5 linked regions of the Neurospora crassa OR74A genome follow. The protein of the gene in region 5 interacts with the protein of the main gene of each other region in a pairwise test. Links are inferred from orthologs where the notes say so. Each region holds a gene or a part of one and is shown on either strand. Other genes may lie near its edges.

Region 1 (5,355 bases), about 3.0 Mb from region 5:
TGGAGGACCGCTTTCTGAAAGCCGGGAAAAAAGTCAAGACCATGCGATTTCCCGACCGAACCACGCCCATAGGCCAGATGATCGATTCGTACCTCAAGTCGCAGGCGCAAATGGACGATCATGTTATTCACTTGCTGTTTAGTGCCAATCGATGGGAGGCTGTGTATGTTTTCTTTTTTTTTCTTTTTTTTTTTCTTTTTTCCCCTCTTTTGGATTGGGGTGGTACATATACAAACAGACAGACAGACAGACAGACTAACAAGTTCTTTTCAATTAACCAGAAAGAAAATCACCTCGGAACTATCCCAAGGCACCACCCTCATTCTCGACCGCTACTACCACTCGGGCATCGTCTACTCGGCCGCCAAACAAAACCCTTCCCTCTCCTTATCCTGGGCGCGCGCCCCCGAAATCGGTCTCCCGCGTCCCGACCTGGTCCTCTTCCTCGACCTCGACGAAGAACAAGCGCGCTTGCGCGGCGGGTGGGGCCACGAGCTCTACGAGAAAGCCGAGATGCAGCGCCGAGTAAGGGAGTTGTTCTGGGGATTGTCGCTGGGGAGGGTGGGGACGGTGACGGTGCCGGTTGGTGGTGTTTCGGCCTTGGGTGGTGCTGGGACGGGGGGTGAGAAGAAACGGGGTGGGGAGGAGGTGAATAAGAGGGAAGCGGTCATGCTTGCCGAAGGACCAACGGAGATGGAAGAGGTGGCGGTTGGAGCGCCGACGCCACTGGCTGGGGCTGCGGGCGGTCCGCATATTGATAGGGAGTATGCGTTTAGGCAGGAGGAGGAGGATTTGCATGTTATTGATGCGAGCGCGAGCGTGGAGGAGGTGGCGGAGGAGTTGTGGAAGGTGGTGAGTGCGAGAGTAGACGCGGTGGAGAGGGGGGAGGTTGGCAAGGTTGTGAGGAGGGTGTTGTGATGGACACGATGTTTTCTTGGGCGTTCGGCGATTGGGTGTGTTAGCTGTTGGATCATATGATACCGAGATCAAAAAGGACAAAGCTGGATGTGATAAGTCCATCTCATGCCAGTCCTATGAGACGAACCTTGAAAATTATGAGCTGAAAATATCTACCTGTGTCTAAAGCTCTACATTTACCCAGGCGATGGTAGAGTTGGACCTTCCCTTCCAGTCTCTTTCTTGTTGTCTTTCTCCTCCAAACCAAATCGCCCCCGAAAAAGTTAAGCATGGACTGAGAGGAATGTTGATGCATTAAGGTTGGAAGCAAGCAACATAGCGAACGCCAAAAGGGGATATAATGAGAGATTATATAGACAAACATGCCATACTGTGTTTTTTTCTGAAGAAGTAGATTTCTCGCCGCCCCCCGCCTTGATGTTGAGATCCTCGCTGTTATATGAATTTGCCCGGTTGAAGCCCCCCTTGAACGCCAGATTGATGCAAAATGTTTGCATGCTTGAAAGAAATATGTGAAGAAAATTGGCATGCCGTTGAGGCAGATCCCTGTGTGGGTATGTAAAGATCCAGTTCCCTGTTTGTACTTTTCCTCCTTTTTCCCTTTTCCTTTTCCCTCTTCCCTTATCTTTTGTTGAAACCAGTGTCCCCAGCTAGACCTGGCCGCGCTCGACTAAAGGGTTATGTCCGATGGAAGCACGACCTGCTCGTTAGGAAAGCACGTTTAGCGGTTGACGCCAATCAAGCTCAAGAACTCGAGCCTCGTCTTCTCCCTCGACTCAAAGCACCCCAACACACAGCTGGTAATGGTACTGCTCGTGGTCTTCTGAACGCCTCTCATGACCATGCACAAATGGCTGCTCTCCATGACGACCGCGACACCCTGCGGCTTGAGGATTTCCATAATGGCATTCGCCACCTCCTTGGTCAACCGCTCCTGGATCTGCAGCCGGCGCGCAAACAGCTCCGCAATCCGCGGCAGCTTGCTAATGCCAATCACCGCGTTGCTGGGGATGTACCCGATATGCATCTTGCCCGTGAAGGGAACCAGGTGGTGCTCGCACATGGAAAAGACCTCAATGTCCTTGACAATCACCATCTCGTTGTGGCCCTCCTGGAAGATGGCCCCGTTGACAATGTCGCGCACATTCTCCTGGTAGCCCTTGGTCAGGAAGAGCATGGCCTTGGCGTAGCGCTCGGGCGTGGCGAGGAGACCTTCGCGGTCCGGGTCCTCGCCGATGCATTCGAGCAGGGTCCGGACGGCGCCCTTCATCTTGTCGAGGCGCTCCTGCTTTTGGGCTTCGGTTTCCTCCAGACGCTCGCGGGTGCCACGCGAAGGGCGACTTAGGCCGTCAAAGTCGATGACGGGCGAAGGAGAGCGGGTCACGGAGGTGGATGGGGAGACTTCTTCGGTGATGGTGGAGGGGACGGCGGCGGCGGCGGTGGAGGAGGTGGTCTTTCTCTTCTTCTTCTTGGAGGGCGACTCTTCGGGCTTGTCCGAGGGGTCGCGGGCGGGCTTGCTGACGCTGGATCGCCTCTCGCCGCTGGAGTGGGCGCGCTTCTTGCTGCTCTTCTTGTCCTTCTTGTTGTTGGTGCCGTTGGCGATGGGGGGACTGACGGAGCCCGAGGGGCTGTCGGAGCCGTCGCGCGTCGTCTCTTGAGCCATTGTGTATGTATGTGTAAGTAGTACGTGGGAGGTGATGGGTGGTAAGAATAGGGTGGTATAAAATGATGTTTCGGTAGGAATTGGCTGCGTAGTAGAGGGAAGAAACGAAGAAAAGACCAGAAGATCAATTGCGAGAGAGTCGGGTGACTGACTGACTCTTGCAATGAATTCCGAACAGCTATGAATGGGTGGGTGAGTGGTCAAGCAAAGTCCTGACTGACTCTTGTGCGGCAACCCCAATGTTTCGTCGGTCCAGGGAAGTGAAGGGGAAAATAAAACCGGGGACTTGGTCTAGGCAGGCGGAGGAGTGGAAATTTTGAGCGCCGATTGCAGGAGGGCAAACCAACAGTTTTGGGGAATCTAGACGCGCTAGACCCAACCAGGCCTGTTAGTCTTATCTTATCGCCGTTGACGTCAACTTTTCTGCAAGGGCAAAGCCTGCGTTCTGGACTGATTCTGGGGACGAAATGGGGCGGGCTTGTTCGGGGTTCAATTCTGTGTGGAATCGATTCGGTTTTGTTTCACTTTTGGAGTTTTGGCCACTTTGACCTTGGTGCTGCCAGCGGAACTGCGACTGCATCGTGCATTCATGGTCTGACTTCCATTGTGCAGAAAAATAAGCTTGATGGGGTCAACGGTTGCCAAGGAAAGAAGACACCCAAAAAAGGGTCCTTTTTAAGGTTCGGCCGAGGGTTCCACAGAGTGTCTTCCAACGGGGCCGGGCCGATGACTTGTGTGTGTTGTTTCTTATGTACACTAGCTTGGTACTTCCTGGTATACTTGACGAGACCTGATCTATCCCGAATTGTCCCAACCCTCACATGGATATGATGAATATCGGACATGGAGTTTTCAAAGAGGTGATTTACGGTCTGGTTATGGATCGAAACCGATTGATTGGATTTTGAAACGCCCAAGCAAGTTGAGCCGAGGTCTCGAGCAAGACTGTAGTTGGGTCCTGATCAAGACCTTATTACCACGACACTGGCTTGTCAAAGAGTACAGTACACTAGAATCGTCAGATACTGTAATCTGGAGGATTAAAGCTGTATGTCTAGGTGCTACTAGATTTTGCACACTCCGCTCCTGAGTCCGGCAAAGACTCCCTTTATACAAAGGACGGTTTCACGCATAAAGTTGAAAACAGCGAATACGAACCCAAAGCGGCTCAAGGCTACAGGTGAAAGTCATGGCTGTATTGATGTCTCAGCTTCTGCAGAATTGACAGGTAAGGGAAACGTTCAGACAGCTGGGCTCTGGGGGGTGCGGGCTGCCCGTTGCTGGTCACGCAGATGCCCCACTCTACGTGACCACGGGTCGCAATTGCAGTAATTACGTGTAACGTACCGCGCAGCACCGCATGTCAACCGCGACAAAGAACTTCAAGTTCCTGTTCAACATTTCGACAAACAACCAAACTCGCCATCAGCTCGCCGCCAACAACCAAGTACGGGCCGCTCCGTCGTCAACGAACCAAACCTTACCCACTGCCGAATGCTAGTTTTGACGACCTCGCTTGCGTATCAACACCAAACAATCAATTCGTCACAGAGCGGTCTCCGCTCCATCACCGAGCTCAGCCAACCCATCATTCTAGCTCGCCCCGCGTCATCCGCAAACACCCACTCACTACCTCAACACCCCACGATCACATCCCCAGCAAGCCGTCACCATGGCCTCACCACCGCACAACAGCTACTCCTTCCCCGGTGGTGCTCGCTCCCCACCACACCTCCCATCCCTCACCACTTCGTCTCTGTCTAAGAAACGCGCCGCCGACGGCTCTGGCCCCTCGCCCAACATGAAGCGCCGTAAGGGTTCCGTCATGTCCGTTGGCTCCGCCCACCCACTCCGACAAACCTCCTTCCCGCCCGACGAAGCCCCTGGCGGCGCCCGCTCCCCGTCCGTCGACATAGACGCCATGTCCTACGTCAGCGGCACAGCCCAAAGCGTGGTCAGCGCAGCCGCCAGTGCCGCTCCCACCGTGCCCGCCGGTCCGCCTAAGAAGAAGCGTGGCCGTAAGAGCAAGGCGGAGAAGGCGAGGGAGCAGACACCTAGTGTTGTTGGTGCTGGGGCTGGTGGTAAGCCGGGAACGGCGCCGCCTAGTGAGGTTGGTGGGTCGACGGTTGGTAGAGGGGCTAAGAGTGCTGCGGGCGGGAAGGACCAAGGTGGACAGCAAGAAGATCAGGATGATGATGAGGGCCCGACGGAGGTGGCGGCTACGGCGGATACGTTGACGAAGGAACAGAAGGAGGAGGAGCATAGGCAGAGGGGAATGCTGATTAATGCCTTTTCCCCGGATCAGTTTGATCGTTTTGAGAACTGGAGGGCGGCGAACTTGAGTAAAGCTGGTGTTAGGAGGGTATGTTCGTCGTTGTTCCTGATCTGCTATGCTTGGGATTTTCATCGCTGACTTGACGGTGACAGTTGATCAACGCAACCATCTCCCAGTCCGTTACCGAAAACGTGGTTATTGGCATGCGCGCGGTAGCCAAGGTCTTCATCGGCGACATCATCGAGGGCGCACGTCGTGTGCAAGCGGAGTGGATCGAGAAGACGGGCGAGAAGCAGACCGATTTGCCTAGTCCGCCGGCGACGCCTCACGCGGCTGCTTCCAACAACAATAACAACAACCTTGCAGGCGGCGAGGGACAACAGCAGTCGCAGACGCTAGGAAACAGTGCACAGACAAACGGCGAGAACGGAGAGGGTGGAGATGCAGCAGCAGCAGCAGCCGACAAGGGAGACGAGACCATGCCCGACGCTTCCCAACA
Region 2 (5,413 bases), on a different chromosome or scaffold from region 5:
CTTTCAGTTTGGTTGCACAAAATCCGATTATTGCAAAGAATAACCAGAGTGCAACAAGTCCCAAAGAACTGGAAAGGTGGTGGAACAAACTGAAGTTTGGTTGGCGGCTGCAATGAAGCTGCTACCTCGAGGTACGGTTGATGTACCTTTCAAAAGAATGAGGGGAGGAAGGGGGGGGGAGGGGGAAGAAGAATCGTTAGACAATGTTGAATTGAGCAACAAAAAAGTCCAAGATCCTGACCGGAGGGAGATCGGTACTTCTCCGTCACTTGTTGCTTGCTCTGCTCGAGATGAGGACCGAGGCGGAGTGGGTGTCCGGGTTGCCCTCTTGATAGGCAGGTAGGTATGGGAAATAATAAAAACTTCCAAAAAAAATTGGGAAGGACCAGGGGACCTCTCTCACTGGGTTGGACGATGCAGTGCCAGTAACACGGGCCACACCCGCTTTTGTGTCTTTCCCCAAGACGATCCAATCCGGGCGTCGCTTCTTTCGCGCTGCACGACGACCCCCTTTTTTCTTCACGATGGAACATTTTCCCACTTCCATTGACGACGGTTCGCCCAAGACACTGGAGATCTAAAAGACATTACTATGCTCGATTTGGGCTACGCTATGTGCACCGATCCATATCTTTTGCTTCAACCACCAACGATATTTCAACACGCCGTCCTCGCGCAATGGCCTTGGGCCCGAATGTTGGGTAAGGTAGAGCGAGGTCGCTTCACCGCCTAGGTTCCATTCACCACCTGCACTGTACCATCGCGACTAGTGACATGCCACTAAGTACGGGGCAACAGTCCACAACCTCTTCTCTTCTCTTGTGTTCTCACCATCCGGCGCATGGCTACCGTACAAATACGTGCTCGCCGTTTGGATCATTGTTTGATTGATGGGATCAAGCCAGCGTCATCAGCTTTGTCTTTGAACATGTTGCGCCGGCTATATGCGATGCTCGATACGATGTGCAGTGGCTTGAGGGGACAGAGCGTGCATGTGGGAACAAGCCGTCCCAACTGGATCGTTCACTTTGACGGCTACGTAATGATTGTACACCACCCCCTTTTCCTATTGTTTTTTTCTTCCCCAACGAACACTTTTCCGGCTTCCAGAAATCTCAAAATGGCAACCTGGCCACAACACAATCATTGGCTGTTCAAAGTTTTTTTTTTTCCTCTCGTGAGCAGCGCCAACTGAGCCAGTCATCACGGGCACCAAACGTTCAAAGACGAAAACCCCGGCACGGCGAATCGACATGATCTCCCAGATCCCTCCCAGCTGGGCAGGTTTGTTTCAATTCCAGCCTCCTCCAGCCTCTCCAGGTTGTTCCCTGAATATCATCACGTTGCAATAACCAGCCCCACCGAAAAAGGCCGAATGGATGTCTGGGCGCAATTTACCCCCCCTAGCCCCCACCATTATAACCGTTATCGTCCGTTATCGCCCGTCAAGCTCGCTTGGACGTGGCATTGCAGAAGGCTCTCGGCTTTTGGACGAGGTCGTGGATCCTGGCGACAAGAATGCTGATGCGGGACCCATGGTTGCTTATCGATACCGGTCATTGCTTATGATGCTTATCAGATGATCTGATTATTTCTTACTGCCCCTCCATCTCCACCATGACTCTACACACATGGAGTAGCGTCGAGTCGCCAAATGCCCCTCCATAACTGGCCGTCTACAATTACTGAACTGATCGTGAACTCCAGCAAAGCCAACGCTTAGTTTGGTGGGAGTTTGGCTAATGTTTTGTGGTGAGAGTGTACGGATGATGGACTTGACAGTTTCTCGGAATTCGGGGTTTCTCTGGCGTTGGGGGGGGCTTTAATATGATAGGTGAGCTGTCGCAATGACCATCTGTTTTCGAGCCGGACTTTGGGAAGCATTGATTCTGGGTTTTGGAACGTAAAACCCCGCCGAAGTGCAGACGTTCGAGCTGCGTTTGTACCCAATGCTACCGAGTCCAAAGTCCCATCACAGCTACAGGGAGCGTTCATAGGCGGAGTTAACACTCGGGGTTCTGTTTCACGCGCTTTGCATTTTCTACAGTACATAAAGGCCGCCCTTCTCCGATATCGTTCTCAGATCACGTCGTACAAAGGCGTTGAGCCCGCATTGATAAAAGAATACCACGTCAACTTCAGCTCGACATAGTTTGCCAGATGCAACCAAGTTGTGAACGAACGACCCCCATCACGGTATGTAAAGCGGAGGTACGGAATTGTTGCGAGCGGAAGCTCATGGGAAGTGCCCCTGGGTTGACTCTTGGAACCCTAACCCTCGTGCATTGACCGTTTGCGCCGATTAGTTGTGATTCTGCGGCGGGCTCAATTGTATACCAAGTATAGGATGCGCACAGGCGCCGTTCCTTGGTACATAGTGTGCGCCGATGAGTGAGGTCCAGTGGCGTTCAGGGACCTTATCGACGCTTGTTTATCCGTCTTATCTGAACTTTCGTTGGGGGCCGTGCCTCCTGTTTCGCCGCCGCTCTCGCTGATTGCGACATCCACCTACGACGGCCATCACCAACCGCCTGATCCTTCTCAAAAGATACTGCAGGGTCGTCTATTGAATAAACACGCCCGAATATCATGGGCTTCCTCGAGTGGCTGATGCCCCCAAGTATCTTCAATGTGTTCCAAACACGCCTGCTAGAAAACGGGCAAGGTGCTCAGCCGGAGCCCGATTTCAGGCCGGCTCTCCTGGTGGTTGACATGCAAGAGGACTTCTGCCCACCGGTAAGCCTCAGGATCTGCTTCCTGCACGTACCTGTACAGAACTCGCAGCAGCATCGATATTTTAGTCTTTTTCTGTGACGTTTTTCACCCATCCTGACTACCCTCACTCGTTATCATTTGAATCCTCGCATTGTTCTGGCCTCTTTTATTGCTTCAAGAAAGCTGGAAGTTGTACTGTGGCGAGAACATACCATTCGTGTCGTCGCCGTGTAAGCCTCATTCTACGGGCAGACAGACCACTTGCAATCTCCCTATGAGCTCAGTGGCTTGCAAAAAATACACAGGCCCATCTCTTTCTTCATCTCATATTAAGTCAAATCACCTCACTCTTCACATCACCACAGTCCGCTCACTTTACCTTGATTTCACACCCACCTTCACCCATACTCAAACACTAACACTGGTCTTGCAAACAGAACGGCACCCTGGCAGTCACCGGCGGCCGCTCCATAACCCCCCTAATCAACACCCTCCTCTCCTCCCCTCTCTTCGTCCTCCGCATCGCCACAAAGGACTGGCACCCGCCCAACCACATCTCCTTCGCCTCCAACCACAACCACGCCTCCTCCCCATCCCCCTGCTGCCCTGACTCCTCCGGAAAAGCCGCCATCCCCTTCCTGTCCACCACCACCGTCCACAACCCCCACAACCCCTCCGAGTCCTACACTACCCGCCTCTGGCCCTCGCACTGCATCGCCGACACCCCCGGCGCTAGCCTCATCCCCGAGCTGGACGTTTCCAAAATCGACCAGATCCTCGAAAAGGGAACCAACCGCCTTGTCGAAATGTACTCGGCCTTTTACGACCCCTTCACCTCACCCCGCGTGAGCGATTCGGGCCTCGCACACATGTTGAGGGAGGCCAAGGTAACGCACGTCTATGTGGTGGGGCTGGCGGCCGATTATTGCGTGTGGAGCACGGCGATGGATGCACATAACGAAGGGTTTGAGACGGTGGTGGTGGAGGAGGCGACGAAGCCTGTTGATGAGGACGGGTGGAGGAGGTGTAAGGAGGCGCTTGTGGGGGAGCCGGGGGTGAGGGTTGTGAGGTGGGAGGGAGAGGAGGTTAGAAGGCTGTTTCCTGGGGGTTTGGTGACAACAACTGTCGGTGCTGGGAATGACGAGGAGGTAGTGGAGGAGGAGGAGGAGGAGGAGAAGATTTGAGGAGGTGGAAGGAAAGGGAGGGAGGAAAATTGAAACTGGAACTGCTGGCGGGGATGGACGAGGTCAGCGGGAAAAGGCTTTGGCTTTTTGTTGTGCTTTTGTAGGCGGGTGAAGAGGTACCTTATATGCAGCGTTGGCTGCTCGGTCGTTCAACGGGAGCATGACAACATGCAGTGCACAGGCATGGCATGGCGGCCATGCTTCAGGGCGGATACTGCGTTGCTTCGGCGCCTGCGTTGCGTTGCGTTGCGTTGCGTTGCGTTGCGTTACGAGCTTTAGATTGTTTATTTGTTTTCATTTTCATTCCACGGCCGATTATAGCTGACTTTGTTTAGGCTTAGCGATGAGCGCTCTTAGCGATACATTCTTGATACCCTTTCAGGAAGATGACGAGCAGATACCGACATGTGTTGTGCAATATCATGGCGATTTGAAGGGGAAGCTTTGCCATGTGTCAGTACACTGCCTAGTATTCGGCATCCCGCTCAACGCGGATTTAAAAAAAAAAAAAAAGAAAAAAAAAAAAAAAAAAAAAACCAAGAGGTACTCGGAGTCTCCCGCCTACTACGGTGTCGAATTCGTGGTTGGACACATGGAGTCAACAAAGTTCCAAGAAGTAAGCGGGCAAAAAGAGACTCCATGCCCTTGTGCGCTCGTGAAACTACACACGAAATGTTGACAAATCGTCTCCCTAACCCTAATGACATGAATGGAATTTACTGTACAAGAAAGTGATAAAGATAAATTGTCATTTCTCATGCAATTCATTAAGGGATGGTATGATTTCCCATTCAAACGGGAGTAAATGTGTGTTCAAGAAACCCACGCCATTCCGACCTTCGTTCCCAAGCGCCAATGCTATGATCCCCGGCCAAACCAATGCCCCTTTTTGATCCCCTTTCGTTCATTTTTTTGTTCTGTTTTACCGGCCAACGCGGATGACGCCAGCAGCGATAAGCTTCTGGATCTTGGTCCTGACGTTGGGGTTCCTCATGTGCTCGGCCAAAGCGGCAGGGTCGGACTGAGCCTGCTGGAGGATGGCCTGCATGACAGGATCGGACATGATACCCATGATCTGAACGCGAATATGTTAGTATATGTTGCAAACAGTGAATCTGGTATTACGATATGACATACCTCAGGATCACGCGCCAGACGCTCCCTTGTCTGCTCCTCGGTCTCGTTCTCGCGAGCCGCATACATGGCGTTGAAGGCCTTCTGCTCCAGCTGCTCAATCTCACGAGCGTTGGCGCCATTGTGGTACTCGGCATCGATCTTGCGGGCTTCGGTGCAGGCGTCAACGCACTTGCTGTACTCGCGCATGCCAAAGTAGATCTGAGCCTTGCGGATGTAAGCACGGATGAACTTGGGGTCCTTCTTGATGGCCGTCTCGCAGTCTTCAAGGGCGCTAGGGAACTCGAGGAGCTTCATGAAAGCAGCAGCACGGTTGCTGTAGCCGCGGGGGTCATCCGGAGCACGCTTGATCATCTCGGAGTAGGCAGCAACGGCGCCGG
Region 3 (4,917 bases), on a different chromosome or scaffold from region 5:
TGCGGGCTTTCTTTTCTTTGAATTTTTCTTTTTATTTTGGCTAGGACCAAAGACAGATAAATGTACTATATCGTACAGTACGTATGAAATCGATTTAATGGTGAATTCACCAATTGGTCCAAATTCATTTGTGATGGGTGGGTGTAGTGCTTCTCCGTAAGAACTGGTCTTGAGTACCTTGACGCTAGCCTAGCAGAAAGACGGACTTGAATAAACGACACTAAAGGGCTTACATACCTCCTACAATACATACACGAAGCTATAGGTGCTAACTCAGGTAGGGATTATAACTACCCTGGAACATCTACCTCCGCTTTTGGGAGGTTAGTAACTGAAACTGAAGGTGTTCACAACTTATACCAAGTTTCCCACATATATTAACACCTCAATTGAGCAGCCTATTGCGTATCTCTAAAAAAAAAAAAAACTTCCACGCCCGGTCAAGATATTGCCATTATATCGAGACCATGGCCCGACAAAGCCCATACGTGGAATCGCATATGCTTGACTCAAGCTGCCAGCGCCACGGCAAGATCCTGGACTCCTTTTTTGACCTAATGAGCTCTCCGTATGTTGGAATGGGTGAACAGACCTAGCAATACCTTCCCCGTTTTGCGAACCCCTCACATATGGCGTCGTGCAAGACCGTAGATCTTGTCTTAGCAGGCCTCGGCACCTTTTCATCGGTCAAACCTTAACGAGCAGATTATATTACTGTCTGGTGACATAGTAATCCAGCACCGAGTCCCTGTTTAACATCTGCTAAATGGAACGCTGGCGCAAGATGACGTGAACACACTCGACATTCATTTTTGAACCGGCTCGAGAACGCGAATTGGAAATCTCCAAGGGTCACCAAGAGCATGACTTCATTGCACACCAGACTGAAGTCAGCAGAGAATCCGTTCACAAAGCCGACTGTCACTGGGCCTGGGATTGGAGCCCATCCCACTGACTTACGAACCTTGGCCACCTCGAGTGTAGCGAGCCAAGGTTGAAAACTTTCAATATAAAGGATGAGTTGAATTGGGGAACTGAGGGAATGGCGACATCGGGTCATGTCGTGGTCTCGGCAGATACATCGAGAGCCACCGAATGTATTCAGGAGTCTGTTTAATGATGTTACTACACCCAATACCTTCCTGATGCCAACATGAGTAAGGCAGTCAGGGTTGGAAGGCAAACTAAGTGTGTCCGTGGATAGCCTTGGGCTTATACATCTCCTCCAAATACTTCTCCTCCTCCACCGTTAAAACCTTGCCTCTAGCGGTGATTGCTTCTTCCAAACGCTCAACGCTGCTAAAACCAATGATTGGACTGATGACGCGCTTAGCAATCCAAGCCAAGGCTACGTGGGAGATCTACAGATACGGTTAGCAAGGTAAGCCTCTTCAAAAGATACCTACGGATATCGATGGGTTTCTCTTGGCTATGAAACTTACCGGCCATTCATGCTTATCCGCAATCTCAACCACGCGGTTGATAATGGTTAGATCGGGCTCAACAGTGCCATGCGACCCAGGCTGGGCCTCCTTCTCTCCTTGACTCCTCTTGGTCCTGCCAAACTGATCGGGTCTGCGGGCCAAGTGGCCACGGCACAAAGGAGCCCACGGGATCAAGCCAACACCAGTGTCGTTGCAGAAGCGGATCATCTCACGCTCTTCCTCACGATAGAGCAAGTTGTACTGATTTTGCATGCTGATAAACTTGGTCCACCCGTTCTTCTCGGCGCAGAACTGCATCTGGGCAAATTGAGTAGCCCACATGCTGCTTGCACCGATATAGCGCACCCTGCCGGACTGCACCAAGTCGTGCAAGGCCTTCATGGTCTCTTCGATGGGAGTGTTGGGATCAAAGCGATGAATCTGTAGCAGATCGATGTAGGGCGTATCCAGGCGCCGAAGAGAGGCCTCGACGGCGTTCAAGATGGCGGCCCGCGACAGGCCATGCTGGTTCACGTAGTCCTTGGAGGCGGCAATCTGGGAAGGAAAAAAAAAGGAGCGGAGATCGGGAGTCTCTCCGACAGCACCCCAACACTTGGTTAGGATGACTACCTTCTCGCGCGGAATTGCGTATTTCTTGAGGGCCTTTCCGACAATGATCTCGGATGTGCCGTTGGAGTAAACATTAGCCGTATCCCATGTGTTCAGGCCACGGTCATAGGCGGCCTTGAGTAACGGGAGAGCCTCATCTTCCTCGATGGCCCAGTCCAGCGTCCGTCGATCACCGAAGCTCATGCAACCAAAGATGGGCACGGAAACACGGAGACCGCTCTTGCCCAGCTGGCGGTATTCACATTTGGAGTTCTCGACAGACTCCTTGAGGCTGGCGGGTAGTTCGGGCATCTTGTGAGTTGTGACCTGTGTGTGTGTGTGTGTGTGTGTAGGTTGCTAGACGTCAAGGGATACTCGAAGGCGATGAGGGGAGAGTAGAGTGAAGGAATGACAAGGGCTGGATTGGGTACAAGATGAAGATGAAGGTGGAGATCACGGTGGTATTGTGAAGAAGGCATTTAATGACGGTAAATGGGTATAATATACTACCAGGCGTAGCTTAGGTTGGGACTTGCACGAGCCCAAGTACCTACCTCTAGTCAAGACCACCAGAGAAGGTGCAAGGTAGGTTACATCCACCGTGAGGGACAGCGTCACTATCCTGTTTGTGCTGGACGGGAGGCAGCACCTACCCCGCACCCAAGGGCAAGAACAGAGTCGTAATGCCCGTGTAGCAGTGCAAATTTCTTTGCAGGTTTCCATGTTAACTCCATGATCGTACCGAGGTGTGACGGCCAGAGGTTACCATGGCAGTGTTTGTCCTAGGCTCAAAGCAGTGACAAGAGGTCGGAGATAAAGTGACCGAGCCCCTAAAGTCCGGATGAGCGTGGTGAGCCAGAGGCTAGCTGATCACACAGCGACATCTTCCATTCTGAGATGATCCGGACCGCCCCCAATAAAGAAAAAGAAAAAAAAAAACAACCCCCCCGAAGAGTTGAAAAAAGGGGAATCCATCCCGGAAAAAAGGCGTTCTCAGAAAACATAGAGGTAAAAGTTGAGTATAAAGCTTAGCCCGACGTGGGAATCGAACCCACAGCCTCAAGATTAGAAGTCTTGCGCGCTACCGATTGCGCCAGCCGGGCAGGCATTTAACATTTATGCTCAGGAGGTCGCATTATACATGACAAAACTGTATTTCATCCGCTTGAATAAGAACCACCCAATACCGCCTTACACAGCAGAGGAATGAAACGCAAGCTCAGAAAGCATTCCCCAATGCCAAGCCCCTTTCGGCCATTCAAAGGGCCCAAGCACCCTTCGTCTAACCCTTGGAGCTTCCATGTCTTTAGTGCTTGCGTCCCTCCTTTCGAATTGACATCATCGTCTCCCCACCAGCACTTTGGAACCCGTCGGCCATTTCCGACATCGCGAACCCATTCAACCACAATCCCGCGACTTAACGGAAGCTACAACATTGCAGAGGGCGACGCCTTAAGCAGCGAAACAAGGATCCCATCCCCGATCGATTGAAACCGCGACACCATGCCCCACGACAACAGCGGCGACTGGGCGTCGCAGGCGCAGATTGAGCCCCATCAGCTCGAGGGTGGTCATACGGTGCCCTATTGGGACAAGAGCTGGTGGGAAGAGTACCGCCGAGCTAGGAGTATCAGAGAAAGAAACGAAATCATCACCAAGCTCGTCGACCAGATGCCCGTCAAGTGGAACACGCTGCCGCAACTGCCCTTCTGGGCCCCTCTGTTCAACGTCACCCAAGACCAGTACAAGGTGGACGTGGGCCAGAGACTCATGGCTACGTCCTTCCTATTGGGTCACCAGCCGCTGGACCGGGAGGATATCGATCTTGTCGCCTACGGCGCCGCCAAGCGATCTGTCACCAATGCGTACGCCCGACCCGCCATAGCCCTCGGCGCAGGCGTCTGCTGGGCTGTTGGATACAACAAGTACAACTTCCCTTTCTGGAAGCCAAAACCGGCATCCTTCAACCCCGAAATCTTCCCGAGCCAGAGATTCACCCTCGCTACCGGACACCGGGCTACTTTGGCCTGGCAAGGCGTCCGCATTGCCGCCTGGTATGTTACCTGGAGAATTTTCGGCGGCTGGATCGCGGATGCGTATGCCGAAACCGTCTTCTCGGCGACACTGATGCGGAACAAGGCATTCAAGCAGAAGCTGCTCGAGGCGGGACAAGCGATGAAGGCGAATAGCATTACTCACGAGAGGCCTGAACTGAGGGACGCTTATTCAGTTGAGCACGAGCCGGATCATGACCACCAGGAGGATCAACAGCAACTACCACAGCACGCGCAAACACCATACTACCAGCGGATCCAGCAGCACCAACAAGAACAGAAACAACAACACCAGATGCAGCAGCAGCAGCAGCGGCGGCAGCAAACACAACAATCCACTTATAGCCATGACGATGATGATTACCTCTTCGATGATGCCTCCCCCGTAGCACCAGCCGCCAGAGGAACGGGTACCGTTAGCTCGCCCGTCGCCCAATCTTCCGGTTCCGCATGGGACAGACTCCGACAGCAAGCAATGGGGGGCCCCGCGCAAGCACCTGGGAGCACGACCGCACCCACAGCTGCCATCTACGCCAAGCCTTCCCAGTCCCGTTTGTGGGCTGAGCGCCGTGCGGCTGCCGTAGGCGGCCGTGAGGACGGACTGTCGCATTCCTACTTAGAGACCGACCAGGAGAGAGCTCTGGCCAAGGAGCAGGCGCAAAGGGAGTTTGATGCCATGTTGGAGAGAGAGAGGCGTGGCGATGGCAGCAGTCATAGACGTGGGCTTTGAGTGAGCGACGGTAGGAGTGGCGAATATCCAAGAGCGGCTGGCTATATGTGTACATATAATATCCTGCTTGGTAGATGTGGCTGGTCTTTACCTTCCCACC
Region 4 (4,390 bases), on a different chromosome or scaffold from region 5:
AGTTCGGCGGGCGGGCGTGGTTGTTGGAGCTGGAGGTTCCTTCGGTGACGGACGACGCTAATGCTGCAGGTGCACCCGTGTGTCCATCTGCCGCGGACAGTGCGCGGACAGCGGGGTGAGCTGTTCCGTGGGAACAAATGGAAAAGACAGAACCGGGGAATTTTACAGAAAGATGGGGGCTCCACGAGGCTGAACAGTGGACCTTACAGGGGCGAATCCAGGCCTACTATCTGAGACTGGGTCTTGGCATCCGCTCTCGAGCTGGTGTTCTTTCGGGGTTGGGGTTGGCGAACGGACCCGCGATTTTTTTTGGACGGGACTGTTTGGACTTTGGACGACGACCGCCCGCCCGCGCCGATTCCCGCGATACCTTCGGGACCCATCCTGACGAAGCGAACCGGTTGCAGCTCTCCCCCCCCAAACATCCACCACCACCACCACAATGTTTGGGGCTTTCAGATTCACCAACCCCCTCTCCGGGGGTCTTCTTTGGTAAGCGACTACCCTATGTTGCAGTTGCGCCAAAGGTTCTACCGGAAATGCTAATCATGTCGCGGCAAACAGGAAGATCCCATGGCGCATGTCCAAGTTCCAGAAGCTCAGGCAGCGCCGCAGACTGAGGGCCGTTGACAACGTCGTCGCCACCATTGAGAACGCTCTTGCCAAGAAGGGTGAGACCGTCAAGGCGGTGGAACGCTGGAGGGCTGAGATGCCCACCGAGGCCGAGATGCTGCCCAAGGACAAGTACACCATCTTCGACCGCAAGGAGAAGAGGTACCGCAAGGGCATCCACAGTACGGGCCACCCTTGTGCATCACTTCACAGCAGTCAAAGACCAAGGCTAATACGGCATTCCTTTTCCAGAGCTTCCCAAGTGGACCCGTGTGTCCCAGAGAGTCAACCCTCCCGGTTACTAAGACCTTCGACCCGGACGATGGACGATATCGTGCAAGCATGTATATCACTTGTAACATTACGCAGCGAAATGGCATGGGTGACATTGGAGATACCGCTAACAGGACCGTTTGCTTGGGGCAAAGAAGAGGAGGCCTCCTGTCTCGTCTCGCAAAGAGACTGACTGACTTGGAGGTCCTGTCCATCATGGACACTCCTGCTCGCTCCATGTTGAGATACCACTGCAGAGAGCAGCGCAAACACGGCCAGGCGAGCATCACAGAAGAATGTGTGGAGCCATACCGAATGGATGGGAAATCAATAATTTCCCGAAATACCATAGCAAGATACCAATACAACAACGAATATCATGTCTTCCAAGGGGGTATTTGTCTTTTACGCTTCTCTGTTCCGCCTCCACTTGCCCTGAATGAACAAAATTCGTAATTTCAGAGCCGGCTTGCATATTTTGTGTCGATTTGTCATGACGACTGGTTGAATATCTGTGCACTGGATCATGATGCACTCCCTCATTGTCCCACGTAACTCCCATGCAATGACAACTCTAGCGCAAGCGGCCGTATTGTTCGTCGTTATCGTCGTAGCGCTTGTGGTCATGCTCCCTCATTCTCTCGGCCTGGATTTGCCGGCCAAGACCACCGCGGCCCTCGTCGTAGTCCTCACGGTACTCATCACGAACTTGGCCGCCCGACTTTCCACGGCCGTACTGTCGCCCTTCCTCGAAGCCTGGGTCGAGATCGGTTCGGATGATGCGCTCGTCCAACTTGGTGCCGCCAATGTACTTCATGCAATCGAGAGCGTCCTGATGGGTGTAGTATTCGACGAAGCAGAAACCGCACGGTGTCTTTTGTAAGCGATCGAGGCCCATGACCAAGCGCTTGATCTCGCCGCATTTGCTAAAGAGTTCGTAAACCTGTTCTTCGGTAGTGTAGAAGGAACTGCCGAGGTACATTCGGTTAGTTCTTGTTTCTTTTGATTTTTTTTTGATTTTTTTAATTAAGGACTGGCAGCGTGGGGCAAACTTGCAGATTGCCGACGTAGAGCGTGGTCGCATCCTTCAACGGGTCATCGAACGCTTCGGGATGCATGTTACTGTCTTCGTTTTCTCCATCGCGGTGGTCCCGGTCGTGACGTCTGTTGCGCCTATTCTGTGTTGAGTGGATGGGTCAGCGGTCGACGGGGTGCTAATTATGGACAGGAGAGATTGGCAATGTTTGGGCATGGAAATGCCGTCAGGAGCACTCACCTTGTTGAAAAAGTATGCACTTGGCCTGTCAAGGCGCTCTACGGTGCTCCTTTGGCGAGTGTTCAACATGGTTACCTGGTAGTGAAGATGGATTATCTGCTCTTGGGTGAAAGGTGCCCTGCAACTGCGAAGAAGAAGGAAAATCAAAAGCTGTCAGCCCAAGTGGAAGTTCAATGGTTTGGAGTTCTGAGACGTCGATGGGGATGATGCAGTGGTTTCCCTTGCCAATGGAATTGGACCTACCTAAGAGGTAACTTAGGTTGCCCGCTAAAGTGGAAGTACAGGCGCAGCTACTTTCTGAGCGCGACTGGTGTGCCCGTGTACCGCGACAGCAGCACTGCAGGCTTCGTTCACAGTTCAGTTCAGCTCAGGTCAGTTACACTTAGTCCTGTTGGCGCACAGTGTCACAGTGCATCGGACATCACTGCATGGCAATCCAGGTAGTCTTGGCACTGTAACGGGCGACGGAAGCCGTTGGTGGTGGGTCAGGTACCCTATCTTACGAGGTGCCCGCAAATATGACGACGGCAGGCAAGGGCAGAGCGATGGAAGCAAGGGCAGGAGGACTTGGTGGAGGCGCTTTGTCGTTGATCCAACAACCATTGCCAGCCGATTGGACCGCAATCTGGCACCCAATTTACAGGCGCGTCACAGCACAACTGTACCTACCTCGGGCTTACCATTTATAGTATGTATACAGCTAGGTCTCCGTTAAGACCTCCATTCGGCCATTCCATCCCCTCTCATCCCGGGCGGCCTGCCTGTCTCCTGTTGATCAATGACCGATGGTGTGAGACGAGGCGGCGAGCACGGTCTGGACTGAACACCGGCGGACAGTTGAAACGGACTAAAGGGCTGTGGAAGGAGTGGAAACGCGCTAAAATGAAGCTAACACGATCGATCAAGGCAAGCAACGGAAAATATACGGCATAGGCACGGAAGCGGACGCCTCTAGTGACGCCCTGGACGCCTCATTTACAGCACTGGCTCGGACTGGACAATAGTGGCATCCAGCACTCGTCCATCCACGGGCATCCATCAGGTCCGTAGCACTACACGCTAGTCAAACCTTGTTGTTACCATCCTGACCAGCCAACCGAGACCACTAGCAAACTTCGCTTTCCTGGCTTTTTCTCCCATGGGATCGATCGAGGGGCCTGCCACTTCAAAAAGGGATCCCAATCTCTCTCCTTGTCTTCCCTCCCTTGGCTTCTGTTCTACTTGCTCTTGATCACCTTTTTTTTTTTTTTTTTTCATCTTCAAAAACCGAGAACCGCCATCACATTAATAGTACCGGTACATCAAATACATACGTACCTCGACCATAGTGCGCCTGCCTACCTACATAGCCAATTACCTCCCCACCTACATACATTACTTCAGCAGAGAAAGCGAAGTGCAGCACGACGACAAAAACCGGCCCGTGCATGCTAGGACATAGCAGGACCTCAACACAAGCTACTATTTCTGCCTAGCCAGACACCAACTTCGGTTTTCATTGCGCCACACGAACCACCGTCATCTGTAGGATTCATCAGGCTCGAGTTGGATAGTATAGCGACAACAGACAGCTCTTAGCACAAAACCACCAAGCACAGTCGGGATGCCCAAAATCCGGAGCTTCTCGGCGCCCTGGCTCCAGGAGCCAAACCCCGGCCATAAGCTCTTTGAGCAGGCCGAGGAAACCAACCGGCTCCCCGCTTCGATAGCTTCCTCCAGGAACGCCAGTCAGGGACCCAATCGCACCATCGCACACCGAGGAAACGAGGTCTTTGTTGCCAGAGGAAGGGAAATCAGATGGGGAGATCTTGCCGATCTCAAAGACGCCTGGGAGGCCCAACAGTCACGGACCGGCTCCGCAAGCCACCTCAACGGAGATAGCTCCGATAGCTCCTTTGAGGTTTACGATGAGGAGACAAGCCGTCTTCCCCAGGGACCAGGCTACAGGGTATGTGGCTACAAATCCCCGAGACTCGGCGCATACGGCGCATCCAAGATGGCCACATTGGGTACTGACATGGTTTTCCTCTTCTAGGTCATCAAGACCCCTGTCGCCAGCGAGATCCGGCAGCTGGTCATCTCCCCTAACAAGGACCAGTTGGCCGTCCTGACCTCTCACACAGTCCACGTCTGTATGCTGCCCGACACGTCCCACCTCACCTCTGGAGAGACGGCCCCCTTCAAGCCCAAGTTCTGGACCGTCGGTCCTACCACTCACGTCACCTCCAA
Region 5 (4,082 bases):
ACAACAAGCACGTCTCCGGCGCCGACTTCGGGCATCCGTGCCTCGGGGCGGAAGATGACGAGCTCAACTCCGGCCGATTCATCTTCAATGGACAGGTCAGATATGGTCAGGGTGCACTTCCAGTCCGATCCGTGTGTCGCGACGGGTGCTCGGCAGTCCTTAAGAACACCAATGACATTGACCATGGACCCGGGCTGGGCATCACCGTCATCGTCGAGAATGGCTCGTAGGGGTGTGAGCGTTGACGGAAAAAGTGGTGGCTTTGCCTTGGCCGCCGGTTTCCTGTCTCTGAGCGGGCGCATCATCTGGATATCCCAACTCTCCGTTCCGATTACATGGCGGCGGATGAGTATGTGGATGAAACACCACCAGCGGTTGGTCGTGATACTTACCAACCGTTGTAGGGCAACTTGGGGACTTCAGTGTTATACGTCGTACATTACGCGTTCACTTTACGCGTCTTGAAAGCGGAAATGGCACCTGCCCAATCGCCAAGTTTGCGCGACCGCATGTGCAGGGCAAGGGTCTTGGCCGCCCGTCGGGCCAGACCATCAGACTTGAAGCGCTGTGCTTTCAGCAAGCCTTGCAGGGCTACGGTAATGGTTAGACGCATGGTCTGTGCTTTCTCTTACCTACCCAGTATAGTCATGAGGGGTCGGGGACTCCCGAACAGGACCTTGCAGGCCAGCCTCCCAACACAACCTAAAGCCTGGAGGTAGCAAAGACGTATCTACCTAGCTCAGACGGTGGGAGGTTGAGAGCGGCCTTTTGACGTCGTTCTTTCAAGTAACTGAAACATGTCGTAGTCATTCAGGGAAACGAAAAGCTTGCGGCTCGACGGACGCGGCCTGAGGTCGATGAAGTTATGACGGGCAGTGTGTAACCTGCAAACAATCCATGACGTTCACAAGCAAAATGGAAGGAATGAGAAGAATGCCTGGAGGGTCCAGCCGCTCTGAGGTGGGGCCACCCAATGGTGGACAAGTTCCTGCACTCCAAGAACAGCGGACAAGTTACAAAGCTGCTCATGTGGCCTGTGCTCGAGCTTGGCTCTTCCATCCCCACTTTCAGAAGCCAAACTCTTTTCGCTACAGTTGGTGCCAGCATTGGGCGCTGTGGGCAGTGACTGGGCCACCTTCAGGCCTGAGGGGCAGCTGTGACTGAGTGGCAGGCAGGGCACAGTGACTGCCTGCACTTGGACTTCACTTTCGTGGAGGTGGAAAGTGCTGGTAGAGGAGGGGACAAGCCGCCGCCGCATTCTTGTTTCCGCTTTCTGCTCGAGGCGCGGGCGAACTCCCAAATTCTTTCATCGTCGCTCCTCAAAAAACACACAACTCGCCTGCCCCATCCATCCCCAAAACCCAATCCTTCTCTGACGTTTTCCGTCTCGCCGACAACGCACCCATACTTTTCTCCGTCCCATTCAGGATTGCTTTGGCAGGACCGTATCAACCGGGCTCTTCCAATTCTCCGGCTTTTCTTGATCGCATATACCTCCCTTTGAACGGCTCGCAGCAACTTCGTCGCCGGGGCTTCATCGATTGCATCGCCCCTCGTTTGCCGCCTTCATATCACACCTCCATCACCCATCCGTCTAGACACCGTCGTCTCGACATCGCGTCGCAACCATGGCTGACCGATACATTCCCGAGCATCGTCGCACCCAGTTCAAGGCCAAGAGTGCTTTCAAGCCCGATGAGCTTCGTCGCCGTCGTGAGGAACAGCAGGTCGAAATTCGCAAGGCGAAGCGCGAGGAGAACTTGGCCAAGAGGCGCGGTATTGGTGCTGGCGACTCGCGGCCTGGAGCTTCCCTTGGTGCCGCCCCCGACAGTGACGATGAGAACCCTCCCACCGAGTCTCAGGTATGCAAACCTCTATCTTACTCCCCTTACATGATCGGCCACAATTTTGCTACTGCGTCCGTCCATCGCCTCTCCCTTCTCTCCCCCACGTGTACCCCGCCGATGATGGTGATGCTTGAGCCACAAACCCCCAGGCAGTGCCGAACCTGCATTCAAGCTGCGCGCGCAAACTCGAACATTGTACAAACGAAAACCACCCCACATTCCGTCACGTCCCCGATCTTTGTTATAGTTGATCTCCACATGCTAACCCAGTTGTCATAGTTGAGCGAGGACCTTCCCAAGATGGTCGAGGGTGTCTTCTCCAGTGAGATCGATAAGCAAATTCAGGCGACCACTAAGTTCAGAAAGCTGCTCAGCAAGGAGCGCAACCCTCCCATTGAGGAGGTTATCAAGACCGGCGTCGTTGGTCGCTTCGTCGAGTTCCTCCGCTCCCCCCACACCCTGGTCCAGTTCGAGGCCGCTTGGGCCCTTACCAACATTGCTTCGGGCTCTGCCACTCAAACCCAGGTTGTCATCGAAGCTGGTGCTGTTCCCATCTTCGTCGAGCTTCTCGGAAGCCCCGAGCCTGATGTGCGTGAACAGGCTGTTTGGGCTCTCGGCAATATTGCTGGCGATAGCCCTCAATGCCGTGATTACGTTCTAAGCTGCGGTGCTCTGCGTCCTTTGTTGACCCTCCTTGGTGATAGCCGCAAACTTAGCATGCTCAGGAATGCTACCTGGACTCTTAGTAACTTCTGCCGTGGCAAGACTCCTCAGCCCGACTGGAACACGGTTAGTTCTCTCGATCACGAACAATCTAGTATGTCTACTGATCCATCATAGATCGCCCCTGCTTTGCCAGTTCTCGCCAAGCTCGTCTACTCGCTCGACGACGAGGTTCTTATTGACGCTTGCTGGGCCATCTCCTACCTCTCGGATGGATCCAACGACAAAATCCAGGCGGTTATTGAGGCTGGCATTCCCAGGCGTCTTGTTGAGCTCCTCATGCATGCTTCCACCTCTGTCCAGACGCCCGCGCTTCGATCCGTTGGCAACATTGTGACGGGAGACGATGTTCAGACCCAGGTTATCATTAACTGCGGTGCCCTTCCCTGCCTCCTGTCGCTTCTGAGCTCCAACAAGGATGGCATCCGCAAGGAGGCTTGCTGGACCATCAGCAACATTACTGCTGGAAACTCGGCTCAGATCCAATCTGTCATTGACGCCAACATCATCCCTCCTTTGATCCACCTTCTCTCCCATGCCGACCTCAAGACTCGTAAGGAGGCCTGCTGGGCTATCAGCAACGCGACTTCGGGTGGTCTCCAGAAGCCCGATCAGATCAGATACTTGGTTGCTCAAGGCTGCATCAAGCCGCTCTGCGACCTTCTGGCTTGCCCTGACAACAAGATTATCCAGGTTGCCCTGGATGGTCTTGAGAATATTCTCAAGGTTGGCGAGCTCGACAAGAACGCCGCTGGCGATGGCCCTGACTCGATCAACCGTTATGCCCTATTTATCGAGGAATGCGGAGGAATGGAGAAGATTCACGACTGCCAGACGAACGCCAACGAGGAGATCTACATGAAGGCGTACAACATCATTGAAAAGTACTTCTCCGACGAGGACGAGGCCGGTGATGAGGCCATGGGCGCTCAGCAGCAGTTTGGATTCGGTGCTTCCGGTGGTGCCCAGCAGGGTGGCTTCAACTTCGGTGCTAACGGCACCGAGTCGATGGACATGTAAAATGCTGTACAATCCGTCTAGTTCTTTTTACGAAGGGGATGGTTGGGTTAAAGATTGGGATGAGGGGACCCAGATGTGATGTTGATCACGGCACCATCTGGGAAATCCTACCATAAACATCTTACCCCATCAGCCTTTCGGCTCCCCCATACGAGTTCATTCGCCCAAACACAAGTCACAACACGGCAGAACTATATTGCTTCAATCTCATAGTGCCCCCTCACGCTTATTCACCACACCATACCCCTTGAATTGGCGTTATCAAAGTTATGTTTAAAAGAGAAAGGCGAGGATAAGTAGACGCACATGGAGGCCGATTGGTCCTTTGGTGCGAAAGCTCGAACCTGATGAGGACACGATGATGCGTTTTATGATGAAGGGAGAGTAAATCAAAGGGTCTGAATGGTAGCTTGAAAGCTCCAACCCTATAGCCATGTTCGGACGCGCAGTGATCAAGCCAAGGAGAAGGGAGCGGGAGCCTCGGGGCCGATG

What was found.
Region 1: the proteins of NCU01249 (region 5) and gch-1 interact in a two-hybrid assay, tested with the Saccharomyces cerevisiae proteins (2 studies listed by BioGRID). The link is inferred for Neurospora crassa OR74A from reciprocal best matches to the Saccharomyces cerevisiae genes SRP1 and FOL2.
Region 2: the proteins of NCU01249 (region 5) and nic-8 interact in a two-hybrid assay, tested with the Saccharomyces cerevisiae proteins (2 studies listed by BioGRID). The link is inferred for Neurospora crassa OR74A from reciprocal best matches to the Saccharomyces cerevisiae genes SRP1 and PNC1.
Region 3: the proteins of NCU01249 (region 5) and NCU06009 interact in a two-hybrid assay, tested with the Saccharomyces cerevisiae proteins (2 studies listed by BioGRID). The link is inferred for Neurospora crassa OR74A from reciprocal best matches to the Saccharomyces cerevisiae genes SRP1 and YPL088W.
Region 4: the proteins of NCU01249 (region 5) and NCU00210 interact in binary tests that used the Saccharomyces cerevisiae proteins (3 or more experiments, as listed by UniProt). The link is inferred for Neurospora crassa OR74A from reciprocal best matches to the Saccharomyces cerevisiae genes SRP1 and CBC2.

Annotation. Positions count from the first base shown.
Region 1 is NC_026505.1:348,665-354,019, reverse strand, and holds gch-1 (GTP cyclohydrolase 1), read right to left. Parts: upstream 3,120-5,355; 5' UTR 2,582-3,119; coding exon 1,640-2,581; 3' UTR 979-1,639; downstream 1-978. Other genes in the region: NCU07773 (thymidylate kinase), read left to right, coding at 1-163, 282-918; NCU07775 (hypothetical protein), read left to right, coding at 4,254-4,943, 5,009-5,355. UniProt on the Saccharomyces cerevisiae protein: GTP cyclohydrolase 1 is the first enzyme in the biosynthetic pathway leading to folic acid.
Region 2 is NC_026501.1:7,459,700-7,465,112, reverse strand, and holds nic-8 (isochorismatase family hydrolase), read left to right. Parts: upstream 1-2,245; 5' UTR 2,246-2,589; coding exon 2,590-2,736; intron 2,737-3,152; coding exon 3,153-3,899; 3' UTR 3,900-4,435; downstream 4,436-5,413. Other genes in the region: NCU00714 (heat shock protein STI1), read right to left, coding at 4,822-4,974, 5,037-5,413. UniProt on the Saccharomyces cerevisiae protein: Catalyzes the deamidation of nicotinamide, an early step in the NAD(+) salvage pathway. Positively regulates SIR2-mediated silencing and longevity by preventing the accumulation of intracellular nicotinamide, an inhibitor of SIR2, during times of stress.
Region 3 is NC_026506.1:3,101,561-3,106,477, forward strand, and holds NCU06009 (oxidoreductase), read right to left. Parts: upstream 2,609-4,917; 5' UTR 2,346-2,608; coding exon 1,443-2,345; intron 1,362-1,442; coding exon 1,185-1,361; 3' UTR 979-1,184; downstream 1-978. Other genes in the region: NCU06008 (hypothetical protein), read left to right, coding at 3,537-4,817. UniProt on the Saccharomyces cerevisiae protein: Putative aryl-alcohol dehydrogenase.
Region 4 is NC_026503.1:3,018,060-3,022,449, reverse strand, and holds NCU00210 (nuclear cap binding protein subunit 2), read right to left. Parts: upstream 2,422-4,390; 5' UTR 2,231-2,421; coding exon 2,162-2,230; intron 2,064-2,161; coding exon 1,942-2,063; intron 1,854-1,941; coding exon 1,460-1,853; 3' UTR 979-1,459; downstream 1-978. Other genes in the region: NCU00211 (mitochondrial ribosomal protein subunit L31), read left to right, coding at 443-492, 565-794, 865-917; NCU00209 (hypothetical protein), read left to right, coding at 3,765-4,109, 4,197-4,390.
Region 5 is NC_026505.1:3,366,479-3,370,560, forward strand, and holds the start of NCU01249 (importin alpha subunit), read left to right. Parts: upstream 1-1,282; 5' UTR 1,283-1,628; coding exon 1,629-1,862; intron 1,863-2,126; coding exon 2,127-2,636; intron 2,637-2,687; coding exon 2,688-3,590; 3' UTR 3,591-4,082. Other genes in the region: NCU01248 (hypothetical protein), read right to left, coding at 1-305. UniProt on the Saccharomyces cerevisiae protein: Functions in nuclear protein import as an adapter protein for importin beta nuclear receptors. Binds specifically and directly to substrates containing either a simple or bipartite NLS motif. Promotes docking of import substrates to the nuclear envelope.